2 linked regions of the Arabidopsis thaliana genome follow. The protein of the gene in region 1 purifies or fractionates together with the protein of each later gene. This does not show direct contact. Each region holds a gene or a part of one and is shown in the gene's direction. Other genes may lie near its edges.

Region 1 (4,759 bases):
TTCTCTTCTTCTTCTTCTTCTTTTTCTTTTTAAGTATTTTTATTTTTTGGTTTCTTGATCTCAGAAAAAATGGCTCTGAATAGTGTCTCCTCTGAAGAATTTACCTTCCCATCGCTAGCTTCTCATGATTCTTCTCACCATTCCGGTCTTGATTCACCTCCTTTGTGGAAACACTCACCGGTTACTTCCTTTCGCCGGAAAGATTACGACTTTGGTTTGGCAAGATTAGTCATTGGAAAAGACGGTGATCATGATCAGAGGAAGAGCTTCTCGTACGTGGAGATGAGAAGTCGTTGGATCGACGACAAAGAAGAGGAGAAAATGGATATGTTATGGGAAGATCTCAACGAAGAATTGCCTCCAAGAAGTCAGAGTTTGAGAATTGTACATGGCGGCGACGGTGGAGAGAAGAAAACGGCTTTGTTTCCCGATGAGAGCTCTGCCGTGGCCGTGGGGTGTGGGATGAAGTTATCGAAGAAGACAAAGAAGAAGACGAATCTGAACGTTTTGGTGTTGATGAGGGTTTTGAAGAAGCTTATTGTGTTGCGAAGTTCGTCTCAGAGGTCGCCGGTGAAAACTCATCCACGGTGATTGATCTCCACCGTGATAATTGTGAATTGGGGGGTTATTTTGTGGAATTCAGAACTTACGGGGCTTTTGTGGAGAAAATTGGAATTGTCTGAAAATGATTTATTTGTAGTTTAGTTTGGGTGGTTCACAAAAATTAATTTTAGGGTCCTAAATTTTTAATAACACATCTGAAGTCTTTTTTGGTTCTTCGTCTTGATTCATTTGCCTGTTCCGTGGGGTTTGGTTTGAATATGTATGAATTTATAAGATGAAAAATGAAAGAGGTCAGAATATTAGGGTGCAATAATAAAGGAAGGTAAAAAAGATTTGTATTTGAAACATTCCACTTGTATATGATATCACTTTTTAAATGTGTGATAAAAAAGATTTGTAACATCTAAAACTTTTGGGGGTCTTTATTTTAAAATGAGTCTTTATGAAATACAACTTTAGTCTGAATCAAAAAGGTTTTCTAAAAATGTCAAAATGTTTGTAGTCTTGTACACTTACTCACTAGTCACTTGGTTCATGCCACGAACCGACCTCCCTAAAATATTTCTCCAATTTGTTTTCTCTTTAAGTTCACAATAGTAGAGTTTTGTTTTCTCCCTAAAAGTTATTTCGAAGAAAACATGTTTTTTCTTTTTCCTTTTTAATAAATCGAAGATTCTAAACTTTAGTCTATAATCCCTCGAACCGAAAATTAGAATGAATTTTAATCCTCATGGGAAAAAAAATTGTACAGTAGTTTGTTCTTCTCTTTATACTAACGTGACCAACTACTTCTTGGTTTAAAACAAACATGTTTAAATTATCAATTTACTAAAACTATGATTCTATAGTAACATGTGAAATGAGAAACATTTCAATGTCAAAAGTCTGGTCCAATTATCGAACTACATAAAAACATTGTAATACCTTTTATATATATGAAGACCACCATTAATGTCGACAGAAAAGATAGCCATGAATCATATTCAAGCATCAAAACTGATTTAGGTATCTCCGGAATCATTGGGAGAAAAATTAGGTGACCTTCATATGAAAAAGATAGAGTAGACTTTTTTATTTAACACTACTTGGAAGACTTTCTTACCTACTCTCACTATAGACCCGATTCGTCAGAACCGGGTTTTGGATTCAATTTCGGATAACCCCTAAATTGGTACGCCAATTCTCAGTCACTCGGAAAAAAAAAAAACCTCACCTTTGTCCACGAATCGCAAGTGGGTCATAGAAAAATCGAAGCTTTTGACTGATCTCAGTCACTTTAGTCTCTCTGCCCACGACCCTTCTCGTCTACTAAGGGTTATCTCCATTTGCCCCTCTTCCTGACAACTTTCAGGTATTACTTGTCAATAAGATGTGAAATTGAGTATGTGCATCAGATGTTTCCTCTAGATTGAACTGATTCCACCTTTGATATGCGCAGACACGAAAACTGATGGGTGTGATCAATGTTCAGGGCTCTCCATCGTTCTCTATTCATTCTTCAGAGTCAAATCTTCGAAAGTCTCGAGCTTTGAAGAAACCCTTTTGCTCAATCCGGAATAGGGTTTATTGTGCTCAGTCTTCAAGTGCAGCTGTAGACGAATCCAAGAATATAACTATGGGAGACTCTTTTATCCGTCCACATTTGAGACAATTGGCTGCTTATCAGCCAATTTTACCCTTTGAGGTGATATTTAGATTGCATTGAATTTATTTTTTGACAATTATAGATGATTGGATTGGGTTGGATTGGATTTATCTTCTAAAATGTGTATGTTTGTTTGTAATTAGGTATTGTCTGCTCAATTAGGAAGAAAGCCTGAGGATATTGTCAAGTTAGATGCTAATGAGAACCCATATGGTCCTCCTCCAGAGGCAAGTCTATATCTTTCTTTCACTCATTCATAGATATGTTGATGACTGGAAAAAGGATAATTTTGTTAGTTAGTTAGTTGTCCTCTCTAACTTCAGGTTTCAGAAGCTCTGTGTAGGTTTTTGAAGCATTAGGCAATATGAAATTCCCTTACGTTTATCCTGATCCACAAAGTCGTAGACTTCGTGATGCACTGGCTCAAGACTCTGGTTTGGAGTCTGAATACATACTTGTAGGCTGTGGTGCTGACGAACTTATTGATTTGATCATGAGGTATGGCTTCAAGATTTGATTTTTCAGTCAATTGAGCTTCTACCAGAATCGTATTTTCTGACTAAAACTCTGTTTCTTGCAGATGCGTGTTAGATCCTGGGGAGAAGATTATAGATTGTCCTCCAACTTTCTCAATGTATGTGTTTGATGCGGCTGTGAATGGAGCAGGTGTCATTAAAGGTGAAAGATTTACGATTTTCATGTGTTTCATTCTCTTCGATTTTGCTTCTCTCTCTCTCTCTGAATGTATAGTCTTAAACATGTTGGTCTTTGTTTGTTTCACAGTTCCAAGAAACCCCGATTTCAGCTTGAATGTAGACCGCATCGCTGAAGTTGTAGAACTAGAAAAACCCAAATGCATATTCCTAACTTCTCCCAACAATCCAGATGGGAGGTAAAACACCACCACTCTAAACAACTCGAAAGGAAAAATTCTTTTTAGTAGTCCGTCATGATTATTAATCCGAGTTTCTCTTTGATACAGTATCATCAGCGAGGACGATCTGTTGAAGATTCTAGAAATGCCAATACTTGTTGTTCTAGATGAAGCTTACATCGAATTCTCAGGAGTTGAATCACGCATGAAATGGGTGAAGAAGTATGAAAACCTTATCGTTCTCCGCACATTTAGCAAACGAGCTGGTAAATTTTGGTTTATCACTCTATATAATCTAAACATTACAGATATAAAGTCTGCATCTAAGAATTCTGATGATATTTCAGGTTTAGCCGGGCTTCGAGTTGGATATGGAGCGTTTCCGTTGAGTATAATCGAATACCTGTGGAGAGCAAAGCAACCATACAATGTCTCTGTTGCAGGGGAAGTAGCTGCTTTAGCAGCACTCTCAAACGGGAAATACTTAGAAGATGTGAGAGACGCCTTGGTACGGGAAAGAGAGAGACTGTTCGGGCTATTAAAAGAAGTTCCTTTCTTGAATCCATATCCGAGCTATTCGAATTTCATTCTCTGTGAGGTTACATCTGGAATGGATGCAAAGAAGCTGAAAGAGGATTTGGCGAAAATGGGTGTGATGGTTCGTCATTACAACAGTCAAGAGCTTAAAGGTTATGTTCGAGTTTCTGCTGGAAAGCCTGAACATACTGATGTTCTCATGGAGTGTCTTAAGCAATTTTATTGACTTCCCCATTTGTTTGGGAATTCTTAAAACAGCGACACAAAAAAAAAACTGATTTTTTTTTCCTCCTTTTTTGTTTGTTTTCACTTGTTGGATTCAGTGTTTGACCAAAAAAAAAAGGATTCATTGTTTTTGTTTCAGTTAACAAGGAGAAGCTTTTGTTGTATTGTACTTTTTGGTTTGAAAATGGGCCTAAGTCCATATGTAAACTTGTTGATGAAGCCCATTAAAACTGAAACTTGACTAATTCGGGTCGGACTCAAATCAAAAACATACAGTATGTTGAGAAAGATGAAGTGAAGACAATGGTTGGTTCCTATAATCCATAACGTAGGTTTATCTTGGTTCAATTTTCAACTTTAATTTCTTATACATAAACCGACAACAATTTTTTTAGTAAAAGTTTGTTTTTTTTCATTCAAAGTGAGAAACAAAACATCTCAAATCTATTACAAAATATTTTTATATCATTTTTAGACTTTTGCTCATGCATAGTGCAGGTTAAGCACTTACTGCTTTAATAAATAAAAAAAACAAACTAGAATACTTAGAAAAATGTTGTCTTCTTACCTCCACTCCATAAATATAATATAATAGCTAAATGCCTTAAACCAGTTATAATGTAAAATAAAACAAAATTTTGGCCCTTGTTCAAGAAGAGCCATCAAAGTATCAAACTATATTCCTTTAAATAAGTACAAAGCTAATTAATTTTTAAAAAGTTTCTAATTATAAATAATTAAGCTGTAAAGGAACCTAAAAGAAAGACAAAAAGAAAACTAAAAATAAATGTAAGAGAAAGATGAATAAGTATGAGAGAAGCAAGAGGATCAAAGAGACAACTTTGGGGGTGTGGGCCGACATGCCATCATCAGCCTCTCTGTTCCATTCAAAAACTCTAGAAGTTTTTGCTTCT
Region 2 (5,192 bases), on another chromosome or scaffold:
TTTTATTTGACGAAATTGTTATAAATGAATAAAATGATAATAGAAACTAGTGTGGTACGTAAAATACCTCTCATTTGGCAAAATAACGGTTATGTATCATGAGTATTGCATACGACAGCGTGCTTAAATAGTGTGCTTTCAGGAGAAAATATATACCAAGTTATTTGCTGAAATTACCACGCAAATCTGAGGTTCGAATGGCAAAATAAAAAACCAATGTCATTTCCTTAATGTATTAAGGTCATTTAAATAAAATTGTACACTTTTTTCACCTGTAAGCGTTCCAAAGTGTAGAATGGATAACTAGAAGGGTCAAAGGTATAATATTAATAAGCGAACTCACTTTTTGCCCAAGTGATTTCACTTCTTACATTTGCTTGATATAGTTACCCAAAAGTGTATATATATTCCCTTATACAATTGTTCTATTTTCTGGATTATAAGGGGAATAAGAAAAAAGAAAAGAGAGAGTATATAATAATACTTTTATAAAGTGATGTTAGATTCTAATTTGTAACGAAAAGTTCAAAGTGAAAGAAAAAACGAAAAAGTTTTTCTGTTTTGTTTTATATCTATAGCCAAGAAAGTTTCTCAGATTTACAAGAAGTTAACTGAGAAAAACAAAAAAAAAACTTATGAAGCATGAAAGACTAATTAACGAGGTGATTAATTTTGAGACAAATTAAACATCGAATTAAAAGTAACATTTGGAGGGTTTATATGTTATATATGTGACATGATAAGTCCGATTCATGACTAATGTATATCTGGAATCTAACATGGAAGAATAGAGAACGAAGCAGAGCCAAGGTCAACTTGCCAGACACGAATCAACAGATTGTGAATGAGACCAAATCAATGGTCATAAACCGGTTGGGTTTAAACCGGCAAGTCATCCTTGGCTCAATTCCATTCGTTATTCCTTCATGCAAGACCCTCTGATACAACCAAAGACTCCCATTACAATATTCTTTCGATCACGAGCTACTTATTTTCAAATGTGTTACCTCTTTCGTGACTCTTGTGTTGTGTGGTAAAGCCTAGTCGAGATGTGTCGGTATATATAGGCATACATATACAAATGCGACAAAATAAGTATATTATATTGTTTAATTTCTATATTCCATTTCTATATGCATGGCTGGGATTTTTGACCAAAACCCTAATTCAAGAATAGAATCCAAAAGATGGGATCAAAGAATATAATCTAATGGGCTGACCACATTTTCCGATTTAATTCGCATAGTTAATATTCTTTCCACTACTTTATGCCGCAGAAATTTGTAATTAAGTAAGACAAAGAAATACAGATATAAGATGGTCGTAGAAACCAGTAGAGGAATTTCATTTTTCGTGGATAAGTGGAATATTAATAAGAGAATGGTCTTTACTCTTTACAGTGGGAAATGGGAATAGTAGCCCATTATAATTTCATCAGATTCTATATATGCATGTTTGTATAAGCTAAAATAAATACGTTTAAGCATTCTTCAAAAAAATTTACAAGTTCTAGAGACTCTCTTAACGTCGGCAATTTATATTCTACTTTACATGACACTTTCAGGAAAAGAAAACTATACTCACTAGCAGATCATTAAATTTTCTTTTTCTTTTTTTGAATGAACCTTAGTTGTGGTTTTTATTTTTGTTAGCTAGAAACTTCAGTGTTTTTTTTCCGCCAATGGTAGTGCTTTGATGATGGTCCGGCCCAATTCATAGAAGGCCTTGAAAATGGGCCAGACCAATTCAGAGACCCAACAAGCTCGACTGTATACACAAAATTCACAAAAACAGCTTTTGAGAAGTTTTCTTCTTCTTCACCTTATTTTCGGGTATCAAAGCCACAAAACCCTGAGAATGGCGGCAGCTACTCAATTTCTCTCCCAACCTTCGTCTCTCAATCCACACCAACTGAAGAACCAAACCTCACAACGCTCCAGAAGCATCCCTGTCTTGTCTCTTAAATCCACATTGAAGCCACTTAAACGCCTCTCCGTGAAAGCCGCCGTCGTTTCTCAAAACTCGTCCAAAACCGTGACGAAGTTCGATCACTGTTTCAAGAAATCATCAGATGGGTTTCTCTATTGTGAAGGAACTAAAGTTGAGGATATCATGGAGTCAGTGGAGAGAAGACCCTTTTACTTATATAGCAAACCTCAGATCACTAGAAACCTCGAGGCTTATAAAGAAGCATTGGAAGGAGTGAGCTCTGTGATTGGTTACGCTATCAAAGCTAATAACAATCTTAAAATTTTGGAGCATTTGAGAAGTTTAGGCTGTGGTGCTGTGCTCGTTAGTGGAAATGAGCTTAGACTTGCTCTTCGTGCTGGTTTCGATCCCACAAAGTAACATTCTTTATTTACCCATTATTGCCCTGTATCTGATTTAGAGAGCTTTAACTTCATCCCTATAACAAAGTGTTTGACTTGTTGATGGAATCAGTATTGATATGAATGGTATGATTTGGTGTAAAATGAATAGGTGCATTTTCAATGGAAATGGCAAGTCTTTGGAAGATTTAGTTCTAGCTGCTCAAGAAGGTGTTTTCGTTAATGTCGATAGTGAGTTTGACTTGAATAACATTGTGGAAGCTTCAAGAATTTCTGGTAAGCAGGTCAATGTACTGCTGCGTATCAATCCTGATGTTGATCCTCAGGTATGGTTAAAATTTACTTTAAACTTTAGCATCATGTCTAACATAATTGGTCTTGGATATTAGTTAGTGAGCTTTTCTGTTTTATACATTTTTCAGGTGCATCCATATGTTGCTACTGGGAACAAGAACTCAAAGTTTGGTATCAGGAACGAGAAGCTTCAATGGTTTCTGGATCAGGTCAAGGCACATCCCAAAGAGCTGAAGCTTGTTGGAGCTCATTGCCATCTAGGCTCTACCATTACTAAGGTAACACTCTGATTATAGTTGCTTAAAGTTGTATTTTGATGTAATCAGATGAATATGGATTGCTCTCTGTTTAGTGTTTGCTTTTGGTCCGTCCTTAGATCTCAACTCTTGAGCTCTACGTATTTGCGTATGTTCTGTTTATTCCAGGTGGATATATTCAGAGATGCGGCAGTTCTCATGATAGAATACATTGACGAGATCCGGCGTCAAGGTTTTGAAGTTAGTTACTTGAACATTGGTGGTGGTTTAGGGATTGATTATTACCATGCCGGCGCTGTCCTTCCCACACCCATGGATCTCATCAACACTGTAAGAACAACATCTCTTTCGTTCATTTGATCTCAAAAGTAGTGGGATGGTAGAATTGTTACAATCCTTGATGTGTTCCAGGTAAGAGAGCTTGTTCTTTCACGAGACCTGAATCTAATAATCGAGCCAGGGAGATCTCTGATTGCAAACACTTGCTGTTTCGTCAACCATGTAACTGGTGTGAAGACGAATGGAACTAAGAACTTCATAGTCATTGATGGAAGTATGGCTGAGCTTATCCGTCCCAGTCTTTATGATGCTTATCAGGTAAAAACAAATATACTTCTCACAACAGCATCTGCAGATTTTGGTCCCCTTTGAGCTATAGCTAAACATTCTCTTGTTCATGTTTTTAACTCAAAAGCACATTGAGTTGGTCTCTCCTCCACCGGCTGAAGCAGAGGTTACCAAATTCGACGTAGTGGGTCCTGTCTGTGAATCTGCTGATTTCCTGGGCAAAGACAGAGAGCTTCCCACTCCTCCACAGGTATGATAAGGATATGATTCTGTTTGGAAGCTCAGGTAATGTGGAATCTTATGAGTTTATTGTATTCATTACAGGGAGCTGGTCTGGTGGTTCATGACGCTGGTGCATACTGTATGAGCATGGCTTCCACTTACAATCTCAAGATGCGTCCTCCGGAATACTGGGTACCAACACATTTTCTTGTTCCAGGAGAATCAAGATCCCGAGAGAAATTGTCATGAATTTGAACTTATTTTCTTCAATGTGTTGTTTGTTTTTGCAGGTTGAAGAAGATGGGTCGATCACTAAGATAAGGCATGCTGAGACATTCGATGACCATTTGCGTTTCTTTGAAGGTCTATGAACTCTTAGATTTACTCATCATTGTTGCTTTTTTGATTGAATTGTATGATTATTCGGAATCAGGACCATAATGATATTGCTGTTTTAGATTTTCACATTATGTGCTTTGATTCAAAGTCAATGAAGTGATCATATGAATAAGAAAACGTTCACAAGTCAAGACAGAAAATAAGAGGTGATTCTGATTATAAGAGGAGTCTTTCAAGCCAAAGTCGTCCATTGTCCAAACACATAAACACTCATCTAAGCTTCTTCCCATAGCTATAAGAAGATTCTTTCAAGCTTTTTGTTCACAAGTTTGCTTGCAGAACTAAATGAATCAATAACTACAACTACTATGTCATTAATCAAGAAACTAAAAGAAGATAGTTCATAGTTCACAGGACAAGTAAAGTGAATTTGGTTTATCATGTAGTGACTTACCGCCACAAGTCTAATTTCATCATGGGTTATAAGGAAGATTCCAAAATAAACCTTTTAATGTGTAAATGAGACGGTGGCTGGAAACTTGAAGTAGCAAAATGGTCCCATGCGACGCCGTATTGGCGCGGCCACCTCTCTCCGCCATATAATAGAGGTGGTCCTTTAAGTTTTATTTTCTTTCTGTGGTTTCTATGTTACCGTACGTATCAATTTTTAAAAGCAGCTATACATGGTACGACGTCTAACAACTATGTTACCTGAATTGTCCCATCGGGCCATTTAATATGTGGATGGTTGCATTTTTCTTCTTCTAAGTGACTAGTTTGTACTTGGTAAAGTGTTTACGCTAACATCCATTTGTAAGTTTGATTCAACAAATTAACTTCAACAGTGAAATGAACATGTCTAATTTGGAAAAGTTTGATTTCAAACTGAATATGTTAAAAATTTCTCAGCATAAATAAGATTAATATCCAAATGTTAATTAATTATTTTATTTTCAATTGGATGATCATAAAACTTGCAAAATAATTAATCAGAAAAAGAAGAAGCAAATTTTTTAATTATACTTGAACAATGAAAACCTAAATCCCTGCAATTTGGCTTTTGAATTTAGTAAGAGACGTTAGTGTATGAATGTATGTATATGTCATCTTCACGAATTAATGCTAAAAGTTTGGCAAATCTTTGGTTGGCCAACTCATTTGGCTATGATATGTTGTTACCATT

Evidence for each region.
Region 2: the proteins of HISN6B (region 1) and AT3G14390 fractionate together in Arabidopsis thaliana (co-fractionation; one large-scale study listed by BioGRID). This does not show direct contact.

The regions. Positions count from the first base shown.
Region 1 is NC_003070.9:27,065,154-27,069,912, forward strand, and holds HISN6B (HISTIDINE BIOSYNTHESIS 6B), read left to right. Parts: upstream 1-1,882; 5' UTR 1,883-1,915; exon of another isoform or gene 1,916-1,945; intron 1,946-1,969; exon of another isoform or gene 1,970-2,002; 5' UTR 2,003-2,014; coding exon 2,015-2,248; exon of another isoform or gene 2,249-2,352; coding exon 2,353-2,436; coding exon of another isoform or gene 2,437-2,440; exon of another isoform or gene 2,441-2,552; coding exon 2,553-2,707; intron 2,708-2,789; coding exon 2,790-2,887; intron 2,888-2,992; coding exon 2,993-3,101; intron 3,102-3,191; coding exon 3,192-3,349; intron 3,350-3,430; coding exon 3,431-3,846; 3' UTR 3,847-4,013; downstream 4,014-4,759. Other genes in the region: AT1G71910 (uncharacterized protein), read left to right, coding at 70-591.
Region 2 is NC_003074.8:4,804,914-4,810,105, forward strand, and holds AT3G14390 (Pyridoxal-dependent decarboxylase family protein), read left to right. Parts: upstream 1-1,756; 5' UTR 1,757-1,857; coding exon 1,858-2,345; intron 2,346-2,481; coding exon 2,482-2,656; intron 2,657-2,752; coding exon 2,753-2,902; intron 2,903-3,049; coding exon 3,050-3,211; intron 3,212-3,292; coding exon 3,293-3,478; intron 3,479-3,575; coding exon 3,576-3,698; intron 3,699-3,772; coding exon 3,773-3,862; intron 3,863-3,960; coding exon 3,961-4,041; 3' UTR 4,042-4,520; downstream 4,521-5,192. UniProt on the Arabidopsis thaliana protein: Specifically catalyzes the decarboxylation of meso-diaminopimelate (meso-DAP) to L-lysine.